Linked DNA regions of Kluyveromyces lactis. The protein of the gene in region 1 purifies or fractionates together with the protein of each later gene. This does not show direct contact. Links are inferred from orthologs where the notes say so. Each region holds a gene or a part of one and is shown in the gene's direction. Other genes may lie near its edges.

Region 1 (4,025 bases):
TAGAATGATTAAATGAACAATAATTATATAATTTATAATTAATAAATTATATATAATAATATTCTTTCCCTGCAAACCCTACAATATTATTAGGGGTTTCCCCACGGTCACCTTCCCGACCCACAAGGAGACGGGGATTCTTACTTATTTTATATCCCGCGGATTCATGTTATGAATCCGCGGAATTATTATATTATATTATATTATATTATATTATATTTTTAAATATAATAATAATTATATATAAATAAGAGTATAAAAATAATTTATTGATCTCATGCTATACTCCCCCCCCTTCCTGTCGCACACGATTGGTGCGCAGATATTGAAGGGGGGGAGTAGGGAGTAATAAATTTAGGATAACCATTATTATAATAATTAATTATTATAATAATATTTTTCCCCCGCGGTCTCTCACCCTACGAATGTAGGGTGATGAGCCGCGGGGTAATTCTTATTTATTATATATTATAATATTAATAATAAACCCCCGCGGACTCCTTTAAAGGAGTCCGCGGGAAAAGTATTATCCGCGCCTCATCCATTATAAAGGATGAGGCGCGGATTAATATACATATATATATTTTAATATAATTATATATTATATTTATTTATAATATTATTATTTATTATATAAAATAATACTAATGAGGGGGGCTTATTTCCCACCATATGGTGGGAAATAAGCCCTACCTAATATATTTATTTATTTTTTATTATTAATATAATTAGAATAATATTTTTCTTTAAGAGGCTTATTATATATTAATAGAATAATTATTCCGACTATTCACATAATATCTATTAAATTAATTAATATAACCCCCGCGGTTCCTCCCCACCCCTTTAAGGGGGGGGTGAAACCGCGGGGAAATGTATATTTTTACCGATCTGCATAGTAAATTGGTAAATTTATATATTTTTATATATATAAATTATATATAAGTAAGATAAAACTTATTTATCCCCCGCGCTCCCTTCCCATCCCATAAAGGGATGGGAAGGAGCGCGGGGGTCAAGAATTTATCTATAATTATATAATTATAATAATAATTATATATAACTAATTAATTAATTAATAATAAAAAACATAATGTATATTACATACTAATCCCGCGGCTCCCCCCCCCCTTCAGGGGGGGAGCCGCGGGTAAATATAACTAATAATAATAGTTTATTATATTATATATTTTAAATATAATATAATAATTATAAAAATAAATTAATGATCGAAAGATGATTATATTCTACAAATGCTAAAGATATTGCTGTTTTATACTTTATCTTTGCTATTTTCTGTGGTATGGCAGGTACTGCCATGTCTTTAATCATTAGATTAGAGTTAGCCGCACCAGGTAATCAAGTTTTAAGCGGAAATCATCAATTATTTAATGTCTTAGTAGTTGGGCATGCGGTCTTAATAATTTTCTTCTTAGTAATGCCGGCATTAATTGGTGGTTTTGGTAACTATATGTTACCTTTATTAATTGGAGCATCAGATATGTCTTTTGCAAGATTAAATAATATTTCATTCTGATGTTTACCACCTGCTTTAGTATGTTTAGTAACTTCTACATTAGTAGAATCTGGTGCAGGTACTGGATGAACTGTATATCCTCCATTATCATCAATTCAAGCACATTCAGGACCTAGTGTTGATTTAGCAATTTTTGCTTTACATTTAACATCTATTTCATCATTATTAGGTGCTATTAATTTCATTGTAACAACATTAAATATGAGAACAAATGGTATGACAATGCATAGATTACCATTATTTGTATGATCTATTTTCATTACAGCATTCTTATTATTATTATCATTACCTGTATTATCAGCAGGTGTTACAATGTTATTATTAGATAGAAACTTCAATACTTCATTCTTCGAAGTAGCAGGTGGTGGTGACCCTGTTTTATACCAACATTTGTTTTCTATGCCATTTTATATAGTAATTTATGATTATAAATATAATATTAATTTATGATTATCTTCATTTAAAAATTTAGAATTTAATCAAGATAAATTTTATTTTGATGAATTTAATTTAAAATATAAAGAATTTAAACCTATAAATTCTGTTCCTGATCAAAAATTTTTAGAATGATTTGTAGGATTTTTTGAAGGTAAAGGTTCATTTATTTTAATAAAAAGAAGTGATATTTCTGTTGTTGTAACTTCTAAAGATATAAAAATTTTAAATTATATTAAAAATAATTTTAATATAGGAGATGTAATTTTACAATCTAAAAAAGATATAACATATAGATGAGTAGTACATAAAAGAAGAGATATTTATTTATTATCATTAATTTTTAATGGTAATTTAGTATTACCTACTAGATATGGTAAATTTATAATTTTTTTAGCTAAATTAAATGAAAAATTATTAAAAAATAATGAACCTATAATTATTTTAAAAAATTATTGTAAATTACCTACTTTAAATGATTATTGATTATCTGGATTTACTGATGCTGAAGGTTGTTTTGATATTTCTTTAAAAGATAATAAAAATACACCTAGATTTTTATATGCATTAAGTCAAAAACATATTGTTAATAAATATGTATTAGAACATATTTTAAATTTATTTATTGATAAATCTAATACTAATTCATTATATAACATTAATAGTGAAAAAAATATTGGTAAAGTTTATTCTAATTCTAAAGATGATAATTGACAATTATGAATTTCAGGATTAAATAATTGTATTTTTATTTTAAATTATTTTAAAGAATATCCTTTATTATCTGATAAATCTAATAGTTTAGATAAATTTATTCATGTAATAAATTATTATAAACAAAATAAACCTTTAAATGAAGAACAAAAATTATATATTAAAAAAATATCTAAACCCTGCGCGACATCACCCGACCCTCATAAAGGGTTGGGTGAGTCGCGCAGGGAATTAATTAATAAATAATCATATTTTATTAGTATAAATAAAAAATATTGAAACAAAGGAAATAGTTTAACTTAAGTTAATTAGAAAAGATATAACAATGTTGATATGAAAAATAAAAAGATTATATCTCTCTTAATATATATATATAAATTAAGAGACTAAATATTTATTATTCTCTTATTCGGACACCATCCAAGGGATTTACCTTTTTTAATACCCCCCCCATATCTTCTTCCCAGCTAAGCTGATAAGAAGATATGGGGAGAAGAGATAAATATACTATTTTCTAGTATTATATATATATTATATAATGCAACATTGGTGGTACGGTCAACAATTTCTCAGATTTAGACCGTCGGTTATAATATATATAATTATATATTCTGATCGCTACAGACTGCTTCACCAATGGGTGATATAATAATATTGCTTAATGTACAGTCGGAATCACTTATTAATAATAAGGTCATATATTATATATGAGATATATATTATAGAGTCTACCCGTGCTATTATCAAAAATAATATTTGGGGAAAAGATAATATATTATTTAGATTTGGATTCTTTGGTCACCCCGAAGTTTATATTTTAATTATTCCTGGATTCGGTATTATTTCACATATCGTATCAACTTATTCTAAAAAACCAGTATTCGGTGAAGTATCAATGGTATATGCTATGGCTTCAATTGGATTATTAGGTTTCTTAGTATGATCACATCATATGTATATTGTAGGATTAGATGCAGATACTAGAGCTTATTTCACATCGGCTACAATGATTATTGCAATTCCTACAGGTATTAAAATTTTCTCATGATTAATAAACTCCTTTAGCAAGAGTATTAAGTTGATCAAAAAATATATAAAATATATATATATTAATAATAATCATAATAATAATAATAATAATAATAATCCCCGCGGTCAGTCACCGGTTATCGGTAACATGACCGCGGGGATAAATAAGATTTATAATAATAATTCTTATAATTCTTATAATAATAATAATAATTATTATAATAAAAAATTAACAATTTATGGTACTAATTTATATTCAAATTTAATAAATAAAGAATATAATAATACTATAATAATTAAATATATAATT
Region 2 (2,978 bases), on another chromosome or scaffold:
ATGAAATGATGATTTTATTTCCGAAGAGTAAATCCGAATGGATATTCGTTGCGGTGTTTTCAAGGCGAGAATCGAACACTTACACTGTACGCACAAACCACCAGCAAGCAAGCAAGTAATCAAAAAAAAAAAAAGTACTCATTTGGACTTTGGTACTTACCCGAATCTTTCTATTGTGCGGGTAAGTGTAATTTTATTCACGTGAGTCGAATTTCAATCTCGGTATTTGATCATCTTTGACGAACCAATGGAAATCCAGTTCGGGCATCGTATTTCACGGTTCATTTTTCATTCAAAGTTTACCGCTTACCATAGGAAATCGAGCATTTCCACTGTTTATTATGGGAAAAGAAATGCTGGTACCGATACTTCCGTAACTGCGAGATGAGCGAGAAAGAGGGATATGCAATCCCAAAAATGTCGATTTGATTGGAAATGTTCGAGCAGATGGAATTAGCAGTTTTGGGGCTAAATTCTCGTCCCGAAAAGTACTCGCTACTATGTAAATTTTTGTTTTTCGGACCAGTTTCTCGGCCAGAAACGATTTTAATAATTGTTCAAAGGGGGTCCCCTATTAATTATGTGGACAGGTCGTTGTCCAATGAAAGAAAATCTCTATGCTACAGAGAAGACAAAGAAGAAGAGGTAAAAAAAAAAAATTATGGAAATATCGAAAAACTAGACAGCGCTCTCAGTATCAACATTTTTCACTTTTTTCATATAGTGTAACCTTCCAAAATTAAAAAAAAATTAAAAGTAGTTAGATAAATCATTGATATTTGTTTAATGAAAGTACACTAACTTTATTTAGACCTGTTTATAGTTTTCTACTCTTGTATATTGCTTCAGTCAAGTGTGCACAATTTTAAGGAAATTGAGAATTCAGTTAGGCTAAAAACTATCCAAACTTTGCTTTATATTTTTTTCAGTGAAATACCACTATACTGTTTTTTGAATCGATAGTATACCAACAGAAAGGTTTCCAAGGAAAAAAGTAAACGAGAATTATAACTTCGAAGGTATTACATTTGGGAGCTCATTGACTTGTTTTTGATCCCGTATTCTATTTATTTTGCACGTACAAATTCAACACACTATATTGATTAAACGGATTATAACCAATTATTTGCCATAAGAAAGATGTTGAGAACCGCTACTAGATCTTCAATCTTGAAGAGAACCATTGCCACTCAAATTACCCCAAAAGCCATCGTCACCGAACTATCTAACGGTGTTGTTGTTGCTACTGAACCAAACAGCAACTCTGCCACTGCTGCGGTCGGTTTGGTGTTCGGTTCCGGTACTACTGCCGAAAACCCATACAACAACGGTGTTTCCAACTTGTTGGCTAACTCCTTTGTCAACTCTTCTATCAAGGATGCTCAAAAATTGGGATTCTCCTTAGAAACCAAGGTTGGCAGAGACCACCAATCTTACATTGTTAACTCTCAACCAGGTCAATATGCTAAGGCTCTAGAATTCTTGCAATCCAAGCTTTTCGCTCCAATTGAGGACTCCGTCTTCGAAAGTTCCAAGAGAGCTACTGTAGACACTGTTGCCAAGTTCGAAGAAACTGAACACGAACAACGTGTTTTCGAACACTTGCACGCCACTGCTTTCCAAAACACTCCATTGTCTTTGCCAGTCAGAGGTACTGTCGAAACTCTAGAAGGTTTGGAAAACATCGACTTGTCCAACTTCGTTCAAAACCAATTCAAGGCAAACAACTCTGTTATTGTTGGTACCGGTAACGTTAACCACGATGAATTGGTCAAGGCTGTTGAAACTAAGCTTTCTTTGCTATCTGGTGACAAACCAGTGCCAAAGAAGAAGTCCACTTTCTTGGGTTCTGAAGTCAGACTAAGAGATGATACTCTACCAAAGGCTTGGGTATCTATCGCTGCTGAAGGTGAACCTATCAATTCTCCACAATACTATGTTGCTCAAGTCGCTGCTGAAGTCTTCGGTACTTTCGTTGCTGCTGAACCAGCTTCCAACCTACAAGGTGTTAAGTTGATCGACGAAGTTAACGAATACCACTTGTGTGACTCTTTCGAACACTTCTCTGTCTCTTATAAGGACTCCGGTTTGTGGGGTTTCAGAACCACCATCACCGACCCACACAACATCGATGAAACTGTCCATTTCACTTTGAAGCAATGGAACAGATTGTCCATCTCTGTCACCGAAACTGAAGTCGCTCGTGCTAAGTCTTTGTTAAAGTTGAAGTTGGCTTCTCAAGTTTCTACCAACGCTGCTGCTGCTAACTTGTTGGGTGCTCAAACCTTGGTTTTGGGTGCTAAGCCAGCCTTGGCTGAAGTCTTCACTAAGATTGACAAAATTACCTCCAAGGATATTAAGGCTTGGGCTTCCGAAAGATTATGGGATCAAGATATCGCTGTTGCCGGTACTGGTAAGATTGAAGACTTGTTGGACTACGTCAGAATGAGAAACGACATGAGTATGATGAGATGGTAATCAAACTAAAAGCCGAGTCTTAAGATATTTTAACAATTCTTTTTATATTATATTCTCATTTCACGACGGTCATTCTAAAAACAATTCTCTCTTTTCTACTCGACTGAGTAGAATTACTCCCTGTAACATTTACTTTTGAGTTGTTATAACCATATCACTCGATGAGTAATAAGTTACAGTTTAATTTCATGTGTGTATATTCCCCCAAAAAAAGAAATTTGTCACGATCGATTTATATCAATATTTTACTGTTTTGGACTAAAGTCTAGGGTGTTTACTGGCGCATTCGATTTTTCGCTCTGTCACAGCTCCTCAAGATCAATACATTTAATGAACATAATGTATTTTTTAATTCCAAATGATATTTGAAAATTTAGGCTAAATCGAAATAAATCAAAATCTCGCTCATTATTCGTCGAAACAAAAATATGAGTTCAATGTCCTTATTTATGATACTGTCATTTACTGGTGAGCAATTGAATACATTTTAACCATCAAGA
Region 3 (2,606 bases), on another chromosome or scaffold:
AAGAACTCGGAACCCTGTCATTGTCTAACGAATAGTGTGTCGAACCAGGGACATGATTAAAGTCGCATACTTTTTAAGTGTTCACATTATTATTTTGTGTCGCGCGTCAGATAATATCCGAAGAGTCGAAGAGTCGAACAAAACGATCCATGAAAAAAATAAAAAAAAATGACGTATCAGTGTTCGCTTATTAACTAGTTGAAAAAAATCTTCAATAGTCTAATATGCGTTCATTTTACAAGTATTTCAGTAGAGACTCAAGCTAGTATACATATCGGTTACGTCAAAACAGAGTGATGTACAAAACTCTGCTGGCCATATTCAAAGCAAAGGCTTTCCACATATTAAGCTCTTTTTCTTAAGAGTAGAAACCTGAAAAATAGTATTTCGGCGATTTCTCAAAATGGTAATCACTCTCCCTTGTATTAAAAGGTCAGGCTAATGAACGCAACACTGCACTAATTGCAATGGATATTATCCGAACGATCCGATGCCTTAGGTCCAAAACTGAAGCTTTTCGAAGATCCTGTAACTCTATTGGATGAATCTGGTAGGTTCCAGCTGTTAGGGTTAGTCGATGCATATTCTCTGCTCTTCCTTTTTTTTTAAACATGTGTGACTGACCAATCATATCACAGGAAACTTTGTGTCAAGGAAATGTGGAGCCACAACCGTGGCAAATTCCGACCGGCTTCTTCTCAGGTAACAACTACTAAAACCACTATCTCCGTATGCACGCGCAAATCCTTCTGAGTAGGACAGTTCGTTCGGCTGGTCCCACTTAGGTATTAGCTTCGCTAAAGTATGGATTGATTTTGAACATCAGTGTAATGAACATAGTCACTTTCTAATTGACGGAGTTATTTTCAGACAAAAACTTGTCTGACCTTTGGAAGAAATTTCAATCGAATGGTTCATTGATACGTTGATAGCAATGAACAGGTTACGCTGAGCCTGTTCATGGGCTGGCAACAAGAACGAGAGATATAGGGTTTGGCTAACTGCCAAAATTACGTAACATCAGTAGCAGTGCCTCATGGACAATCATAAATCCTAAATCGTATACGATATTGCAGGAAAAAGAAATAAAGGAACAAAGAATATTTATCATACGGGAAGGAAAAAAGTAAAAAAGTAAAATCGAACCAAAATTAAAGTATAATTGGAACAAAGGCAGGGAGGGAATTTAAAAGTATCGTATATAAGGAAGAGCATTCTCTCGGTTTATTCGTTTACAGAATCATTTCAAATTATATATATATATATCGTTTGACAGTTAAAATTTGTTAATGCTTATCCTCTTGGCTAAAATAAATATCGGGATATATTAGGATTTTGTTCCAGTATTAATTCGATATTTATCACCTTATTTAAACTAAGGGAATCAAAAGTTAGCTTAAGAGATAAGTAACTGAAAGACGAAAAAACCAGCACAGCAAGATGAAGATTTTAACAAGAGAAGAAATTGATGCTCATCGTCACTACACCCTGATGGGTGGTGTTAAAGGTGCAGCTGCAGGTCTGTTAATTTCTGCAGCTATGTTCAGGTTTTTACCCCATCGTTATCCTAAATTCAATCCAAAGGCTATGACATGGTCTGTCAAGACTGCTTTATTCATCACGCCTCCAACTCTTTTGGCTTCTATTGTCGCTGAAGAATCTTCTAACAGTTTTGATAAGAAAATGTATGGTGACTCTTCGTCCAGTGATATTCTTGCTGAACATAACAGATGGAAGAACCTGCCTATGAGCGAAAAATTGGTCGAAGGTTTGTCCAACAATAAGTACAAGATCATTGTTGGTGCATGGGCTGCTTCCTTGTATGGATCCTGGAAATTGGTTGATAGGGACTTATACATGACCAAAGCCCAAAAGGCTGTGCAGGCAAGAATGTATGCTCAAGGTATAACTGTGATTTTGTTACTAGCCTCAATTGGTTTATCTATGTACGAGGAAAAGCTACATCCAGATCAAAAGAAGGAGGCTAGAGACCGTCGTTGGCAAGCGGCTTTGGAGCATGCTGAGAAGGAAGAAGAGATGGCTGCAACCGCTGGTTACAGAAGTAACGAAGACAGAGTTAAGGCCAAGATTTTTAAATATGATTGAATTTTTGAAGAATTCAATCTAGCTGAGGTGAAATACGATATTGCCTTCACACTACAAGGCGTACAATTCTATTTTCACCCTCATCACATCCTTCTTGTGAATAATTTTGACCCATATACTATTAACTGTTTTTTTTTTACAGCACTGCCTTGTACGAAATGAAATGAAGCAGATCTAACGTACCAAATCTACCTTTCATGGTGAGTTATTTTGTCTCACATTATTCTATGTCATGACAAGTTAATAAAAGAAGATCTATTTTTTATCATTGATTATTGTAACAGTTTCATTGCATCGTGGCGCAACCATCCACGAGATCAAAAATGCGGGCGTGCTGCCTTACCTGTTATGGTTGTTTTTTAATGTCAGCTTATTTCAATTTTTTTTCAATAGAGACGGCTGGTACGGCTTTCATAACATTATACCACTACTTTTTTGAACCAATCAAGAACCTTCATAAATTATCAAAAATGCGGACCAAAATTGCTTGTAATCTTTTC
Region 4 (2,384 bases), on another chromosome or scaffold:
TCATTGCAGAATTGGGGTTACGAAGTAATAAATGAAATATCTTGGATCAAGACAAACCAATTAGGAAGAACAATTGTGACAGGTAGAACTGGCCATTGGTTGAACCACAGTAAAGAGCATTTACTCGTCGGGGTCAAAGGCAATCCGGAATGGCTAAACAGAAAAATAGACATTGACTTGATCATTAGCGCAACTAGAGAAACCAGTAGAAAGCCGGACGAATTGTATGGAATCATTGAAAGACTTGTCGGTACACATGCCCGTAAACTTGAAATTTTCGGTAGGGACCATAACATCCGTCCTGGATGGTTCACGATAGGAAATCAAGTGACAGGCTCATCTATCCATGAAGTGGATGTGAAAAGGAAATACGAAAGATTCATGGAAAAATCAAAGAATTCAAAGACAAACTAAAGATGTAATACTCTCTTTACTTCAAATGTCCTAGCTTTTATTTGTCGATACACAGTATCCATTAGGAGTCTGTATGTGTTCCTTCTTACTTTTCTTCTTTTTTTTAATTTATGTCATACGCCCTTGTAATTACAAACGTTACATTACCCACAAGTTCGTGCTACACTTAAGCAGCAATAGGCAATCTTTTGATTTCCATAACCATGGCTGATCCTACGGGCGTTCTATTAGCCAACGCGCTTGTTTTTTGAATTCAATGCAACAAGCTCTCAGCTTAATCTAGCATTCTATATATTAGGAACGGTGTTTCTGTCCACTACACCAACCCCAGCCGGCAAGTCCCTGCAGCAGCTACTAGAATGACATGCGATGGCTCAGGTTTGCTAAAAACCCAAAATCAATTACCGCCAGGCCGTGAAACAAATATTGTTACCCGGACTTGAATTCCTGAACGTCAATATTACACTGTTTGTCAATATGTATAAAGAGATGCAACAGAAACAGAAAATAAAGTAGGAAGTACTTCTGAATCTGTTGCCAGTGTGAACGGTATCGTATGAGCTACTTGTGGGTTTGTAGTCCCGGCGAGACAGCAACACCATTTAAACAAGGAATAGGAACCTTTTATGCTCAGTGTCCATTACCAGAACTTAAGTCTCTCGTGACCAGCAACCAATCATTTTCATACCGTGTAATGTGATACCGAAATTACAACATCGAAAAAGCATGATCTTTGTCTAGTTTCTCCGTCGTGCCATTTTTGGTTTTTTATATGGAGTGGGATATGGAAATATCGCGAGAGAGATTGTGTTGATGCTAGAAAATTTTGGAGGTAGGAAAAAAAAAATTGTTTAATAGTTAGGAAAGTTCAAGTTATTAAAGCTACTCTTTCCATAATAGAAAAGGTTTTATTGGTAAGTCAAAGTACTTTTTTAAAAGAGATTTTTGTGATTAGTTTTCTTACTGTTTACAATTCATTTTACATTCATTTCGAGTTTGATATCTATTTAACGTCAACTGTGTTTGGTGAATTAATTCCATAAGGATATTCTGTTTCGAAAAGCCAGACCCTAGATATAATCAAAAATGTTCAAACAAGCCATTAGAAGAGCTTCTACTCTACCAAAGTATGCTTTGGAACCAGCTTTCGGTAAGCCAGATTTGGCTGCTGCCCAAGCTTACAAGGACTACATGAAGCACAGTACTGAGCACGCTAAGCAAACCTCTAACTTGTGGGTTAAGATCTCCATATTTGTTGCTGCTCCAGCTATTGCTCTGACCGCTGTCAACACCTACTTCGTTGAAGCTGAACACGCTGAGCACCGTGAACATTTGAAGCACGTTCCAGATGAAGAATGGCCAAGAGACTACGAATTCCAAAACTTAAGACAAAAGCCTTTCTTCTGGGGTGACGGTGACAAGACTTTGTTCTGGAACCCAGTCATTAACAGACACGTCTCTCACGATTAAACACAGTTCGATAAATGATCTCAACTTGTTGGGCTTTGGCCATTCATAATGAAATATCAAGATAGCCCCTGCCTGTGGGTTTTTTTATCTTTTAAAACACCTTTTATCAAATATCCTCAAATTATCTTCAAAAGAATTCAAACATCCGTTTAATCTGGCATTATACTTCAAAATACAACAAACATATGGATAAACTTTATAGTGGAGTTTCCACCATACAAATAATTATTATTTAACTCAAGAAGAATAAACACACTTTTTATCTTTATTGTAAATTCAGTCCTAGAAAAATAGAATAAAACACGTCACACTGTGTCAATGATCATAAGTAGATATAAGTTTCTTCATTATCAATATCTATTGTACTGAATCTGTGACAAGCAGTACATCAACTTCGATATGCTCAGCGTTATGGCAAACGTCTTTAGTAACTCAATACTTACTTTTTTTTCACGAATGATGAATACAAACTGACTTTACGTTCCAAAAACTTTAACTTT
Region 5 (2,439 bases), on another chromosome or scaffold:
TATCAATAAACCCACACACCACGCATAAATTTCATATATCACGTGATATCATTGTTGTTGACCAGCCTTGGCACAGGTTATATCAGAGAATATCGCGACACACAATACCTTCTTCTACCGGTACTGTATCCAAAAACACACTGGAACTAGTGGTTACTAGCTACTGGCTCATTGGAGCCATATATCGCTTCCTCATCGGCATTTCAGTCCACATTCCAGTTTCCATACGAGTTCCAATTTCATTTTCATTTTCTGTTTCTAGATTTAACGACGCGATGGGCATCGCCAAGTTAGAACTGAAAAATTATTTCAATGTGACATGTGTGGATCCAAGACATAGATCATTAAAAAACCACCATTTTCAATAAAGCAGTTCGTTGGTGCCACTCTTACGTTTGCGTTTACTCTTTTCGTTTCTGGTATATTTTATTTTTGAATTAGGCGCTCAGCTGGCATCTTCAACGCTTCCCTTTTGCATGTTTATTGGAAGAATGAGTCGTCCTATAGTCATTTCTGGTCCAAGTGGTACCGGTAAGTCCACTCTTTTGAAGAAGTTGTTCGCGGAGTACCCAACGAGTTTCGGGTTCTCTGTATCGTCTACTACTAGACAGCCAAGAAATGGTGAAGTGAACGGTAAGGACTACAATTTCGTTACAGTGGACGAGTTCAAATCGATGATAGATAACAAGAAGTTCATCGAATGGGCACAGTTCTCTGGTAACTACTACGGAACGACTATCGAGTCTGTGAAGGAGGTGACAAACAGCGGCAAGACGTGTATCTTGGACATTGACATGCAAGGTGTGAAATCTGTGAAACAGACCGATTTGAACGCTAGGTTCCTTTTCGTGGCTCCACCTTCTGTTGAAGTGCTGAAGGAAAGGTTGACTGGCAGAGGCACCGAGACGCCAGAATCTCTTGAGAAAAGACTAAATGCAGCCATTGCCGAATTGGAATATGCTGAGACTGGCGCACATGACTTGACCGTTGTCAACGACGATTTGGATGCCGCATACGAGAAATTGAAACAATTCATCTTCGAGGAAGAGAACAAGAGTGGAAATGATTGAGAACTCAGAAATTTCTGAAATATAATATACTACATATATGCATACCGTACCCTTATGTATATTTAAGATTATTAGTTACCATCAAGAGGGAACGAGTACTGGTCAGTGCCCTGTCATTGGTGTCGTGTTAACTGACACCTGTTTACTTTGCCATTACCCTATTGTACAAATTTCCCACACAAGTAATGAGCAAATATCGAAATAAAGGAATAGTAGAAATAAAGTTTCCAACCGATAAAGAGATTCATTAAATAAAGCAAGGCAGCAAACTATCTGGAGTTGATCAAGGCGTCTATAGTTTTCGATACAACTAACTAACAGGCCGAAATCAAGAGAAGACCGTGCTCGTACTTACAGAGATATACACCCAACAACAGCAAAAGAAAACAATCATGTCGTACCTTCCATCAAGTTTCGACTCCGATGCAGATGATTTGGATGAGATGCCATTTCTGGATAAAATGATTTACCATTGTAAGCAACAGCCATTAGTTCCTCTTGGGACTCTAGCTACCACTGGTGCAGTTTTGTTGGCTGTGCTTAATGTGAAGAACGGTAACAAGCGGAAAGCTCAGATCTGGTTCCGTTGGCGTGTAGCCCTTCAAGGGTTTACACTTATCGCCCTTGTAGCAGGTTCTTATATCTACGGTACAAATAAAAACGAAAGAGAATCTCATGAGGAACAACTAAGGAAGAAGGCCAAGATGAGAGAGCAGTTATGGATCCAAGAGTTGGAGAGAAGAGATGAAGAGACTAAGTTGAGGAGACAAAAAGCTGAACTTGCCAGACAAAAAGCTAAAGAAATGGAACAAGAGACCTCCAAACTGCAACAAGAATTGAAAGACCTTGAGGAAAGATTAAAGAAATAGGCTTATTATCTCTTTACATGACTATCTGAATTTTCCAATCAAAGAACAAATTCACTGACGAACAAGAGCCCTGAAGCATCTTTGAGGGCATCGTCATTTTACTATGCTGAATAGCAAACGAAATTAAACCTACTCATCAATATGTTTTATGAAGTGAAACAAACGCTTCTTTTCCTCTCCCAACAATTCTCTGTATATGTATATAGTTTTTTTAATGAACATATTGCTACAATGAGGCATCCAGGGGTACCCACCAATGTCTATTCACTGATCTTCCTATCCAAGGTTTCTCGTTTTCCTCGAACTCATATGTAGAACTAGGTTTCCTAGGATTTCCATGAAGCACACATATTTACTATTGAAAAATCAAGAAAAAGAACATCAAAATCGAAACAATGAAAGAATTAACAGAGCAAGGGTGTCACTTTAAAGCAAGGATTCAGAGCTCTTATCCTACTCGTAGCACGACACTGAACAAAGGTAGAAAGTGTCACTGATAA
Region 6 (2,011 bases), on another chromosome or scaffold:
CATGACGAGCTGTGGACACAACTATTGTTACGAATGTTTGAATAACTGGTTGAACAACAATCGATCCAACGTATCAGAATTAACGTGTCCGCAATGTCGAAATGTGATTACCAATGAACCATCGTTGAACGTTGCCTTACAACAAATAGTCGATCTGATGCTAGATATAGCAGCGGAGGACCCACAGAAATCGAATTCCTCCGAAGTACGATCACTGCTCACACAAAGAGAATGCTCCGTTGCTGAATACAAGTCTGACCTGTTGGAAGAAACGCTATTCAACAGTGTGTTTAAGAATACTGCCAAAGCCATCATAGACGATGATGACGATGGGATAGCAAGGTGTAGCAATTGCCAATGGGAAGTTGAGGGTCCCGTGTGTCCTAACTGCAATGCTACGATACGGAATTATAATGCGGGTGCACAGAACTTCGACGAAGTTGATGTGGATGAGTACTCTGACGGAGAACTGGAAGAGGTTGAGAGAGATTTGGACAATTATAGAGCCGAGAGTGCACGTACTGTGCACGATTTGGAAGCCGAAGAGGGAGATGAGAGTCTCAGTTCAGAGATGGACCAGGCATGGCCCACAAGACGGCCTAGGAACTTTATGCATGGAGAAGAAGAAGAGGAGGAAGAGGAAGATAGAGGATCGATAGATTCGTTCATAGTGGATGAGGAAGAAGAAGAAGAAGAAGAGGAAGAGGAACAAGAATTGAAAGATGAACGGAAGTTCCGTAGAGCATCTGTTGCCCTCTCAGATGACGATGACAACGAATCTCGCGACAGTGATTTCTACGAACATAATGACGATGGATACGCGAGTGGTGACTCCCTTGACGAAAGTACTAGTAACGACGAACTAGAACCGCACACCATCCGTCTCACTCATAGTCAAGACAACAACAACAACAACAACAACAACTCCGCGCGTAAGAAACGTCTCATAGTCCTAGACTCTGATGAGTAACAATAACAGCGTATATACACCTTGTACAACCTTCTAACGATACTAAAAGTCACGTGTAAACCACCATCACGTGCAACAACCCCGCAGTTACCCTGAATGTCCCCGTATCTTTTCCCAGCCTATGGAGTTTTCGCTGTTTAGAGGGAAGTTGAATTTTCACACCACTCGAAAGCCAGTAGGGGAATATCAGATACTGAGATTAAAAAAAATTTTGGAAGAAATAAACTGTTATGATAGTTAGTTTACACTTGGTGAATACAGTTTTCGATTTGATTCATAGTATTTGTATATTTTGTTTGTTGTTCATCGATTGCCAATACATTTGTTTAATCATAGCCCCAAACATTGAACGATGCCTTCTCCAAGCAAAATTATTGAACTACAAAAGCTGTTCCAACACTCTTCTAAGCCATTGTGGTCTAGACATCCAAGATCGGCTTTCTACTTGTACCCATTCTGGGGTTTGTTTACTGTGGCCCTTGTTGCTCCATTGCTATACATTCCAAATGCTATCATGGGTATTAAGGCTAAGAAGAACTAAGAACTGTTACGTTGTGTATGAATGAATGAATGAAATCCCGAGAGGTTTTTTCGTTAATTATTTTATTATCAAGATACGTCCAAAAATATCCCATATTCACTTTCCCTTATGTTATTACCATGTTAAAAGAGCGAACGAATGAACGAAAATGCACAGCAACAGTATTAGGAAGATATGTTCTTTGCTTCTCTTGTTGAGAAATCTGTTTGTTTCAAATATATATATTTAATTCCAAGACCAGGTCAAGAAATGGAAGAATGGCCTACACCCAGTGTTGAATCCTGACTTCCAGTCAATCTTTATATTAATCAATTTATTATTGGCGCTTTAGCGAAGGAGTATGCGTGGTTTTATTCATGGTCACAATACTCCGAAGTTGTTGCACTATTATTTAGAAAGAATAAGTTAAAAATAAAATACTATAATATATTTTTAAGTAAGACTTTCCGGACAGTACGTTATATCACCCTGATCTGAGTGTTTTCGGCGTATTTGATGGT

Evidence for each region.
Region 2: the proteins of COX1 (region 1) and COR1 purify together in Saccharomyces cerevisiae (affinity purification with western blotting; 6 studies listed by BioGRID, with this or other methods). This does not show direct contact. The link is inferred for Kluyveromyces lactis from reciprocal best matches to the Saccharomyces cerevisiae genes COX1 and COR1.
Region 3: the proteins of COX1 (region 1) and RCF2 purify together in Saccharomyces cerevisiae (affinity purification with western blotting; 4 studies listed by BioGRID, with this or other methods). This does not show direct contact. The link is inferred for Kluyveromyces lactis from reciprocal best matches to the Saccharomyces cerevisiae genes COX1 and RCF2.
Region 4: the proteins of COX1 (region 1) and COX13 purify together in Saccharomyces cerevisiae (affinity purification with mass spectrometry; 3 studies listed by BioGRID, with this or other methods). This does not show direct contact. The link is inferred for Kluyveromyces lactis from reciprocal best matches to the Saccharomyces cerevisiae genes COX1 and COX13.
Region 5: the proteins of COX1 (region 1) and RCF1 purify together in Saccharomyces cerevisiae (affinity purification with western blotting; 6 studies listed by BioGRID, with this or other methods). This does not show direct contact. The link is inferred for Kluyveromyces lactis from reciprocal best matches to the Saccharomyces cerevisiae genes COX1 and RCF1.
Region 6: the proteins of COX1 (region 1) and COX7 purify together in Saccharomyces cerevisiae (affinity purification with mass spectrometry; 3 studies listed by BioGRID, with this or other methods). This does not show direct contact. The link is inferred for Kluyveromyces lactis from reciprocal best matches to the Saccharomyces cerevisiae genes COX1 and COX7.

What each region holds. Positions count from the first base shown.
Region 1 is NC_006077.1:30,934-34,958, reverse strand, and holds the start of COX1 (cytochrome c oxidase subunit 1), read left to right. Parts: upstream 1-1,225; coding exon 1,226-1,934; intron 1,935-3,474; coding exon 3,475-3,736; exon of another isoform or gene 3,737-3,737; intron 3,738-4,025. Other genes in the region: COX2 (cytochrome c oxidase subunit 2), read left to right, coding at 1-23. UniProt on the Saccharomyces cerevisiae protein: Component of the cytochrome c oxidase, the last enzyme in the mitochondrial electron transport chain which drives oxidative phosphorylation.
Region 2 is NC_006041.1:508,018-510,995, forward strand, and holds COR1 (ubiquinol--cytochrome-c reductase subunit COR1), read left to right. Parts: upstream 1-1,140; coding exon 1,141-2,478; downstream 2,479-2,978. UniProt on the Saccharomyces cerevisiae protein: Component of the ubiquinol-cytochrome c oxidoreductase, a multisubunit transmembrane complex that is part of the mitochondrial electron transport chain which drives oxidative phosphorylation.
Region 3 is NC_006042.1:573,921-576,526, reverse strand, and holds RCF2 (Rcf2p), read left to right. Parts: upstream 1-1,440; coding exon 1,441-2,106; downstream 2,107-2,606. UniProt on the Saccharomyces cerevisiae protein: Assembly factor that plays a role in the assembly of the respiratory chain supercomplexes (SCs) composed of ubiquinol-cytochrome c oxidoreductase (cytochrome b-c1 complex, complex III, CIII) and cytochrome c oxidase (complex IV, CIV).
Region 4 is NC_006042.1:844,201-846,584, reverse strand, and holds COX13 (cytochrome c oxidase subunit VIa), read left to right. Parts: upstream 1-1,500; coding exon 1,501-1,884; downstream 1,885-2,384. Other genes in the region: IME4 (mRNA (N6-adenosine)-methyltransferase), read left to right, coding at 1-414. UniProt on the Saccharomyces cerevisiae protein: Component of the cytochrome c oxidase, the last enzyme in the mitochondrial electron transport chain which drives oxidative phosphorylation.
Region 5 is NC_006038.1:134,409-136,847, reverse strand, and holds RCF1 (respiratory supercomplex assembly factor RCF1), read left to right. Parts: upstream 1-1,462; coding exon 1,463-1,939; downstream 1,940-2,439. Other genes in the region: GUK1 (guanylate kinase), read left to right, coding at 492-1,070. UniProt on the Saccharomyces cerevisiae protein: Assembly factor that plays a role in the assembly of the respiratory chain supercomplexes (SCs) composed of ubiquinol-cytochrome c oxidoreductase (cytochrome b-c1 complex, complex III, CIII) and cytochrome c oxidase (complex IV, CIV).
Region 6 is NC_006038.1:767,930-769,940, forward strand, and holds COX7 (cytochrome c oxidase subunit VII), read left to right. Parts: upstream 1-1,322; coding exon 1,323-1,511; downstream 1,512-2,011. Other genes in the region: ubiquitin-protein ligase PSH1, read left to right, coding at 1-970. UniProt on the Saccharomyces cerevisiae protein: Component of the cytochrome c oxidase, the last enzyme in the mitochondrial electron transport chain which drives oxidative phosphorylation.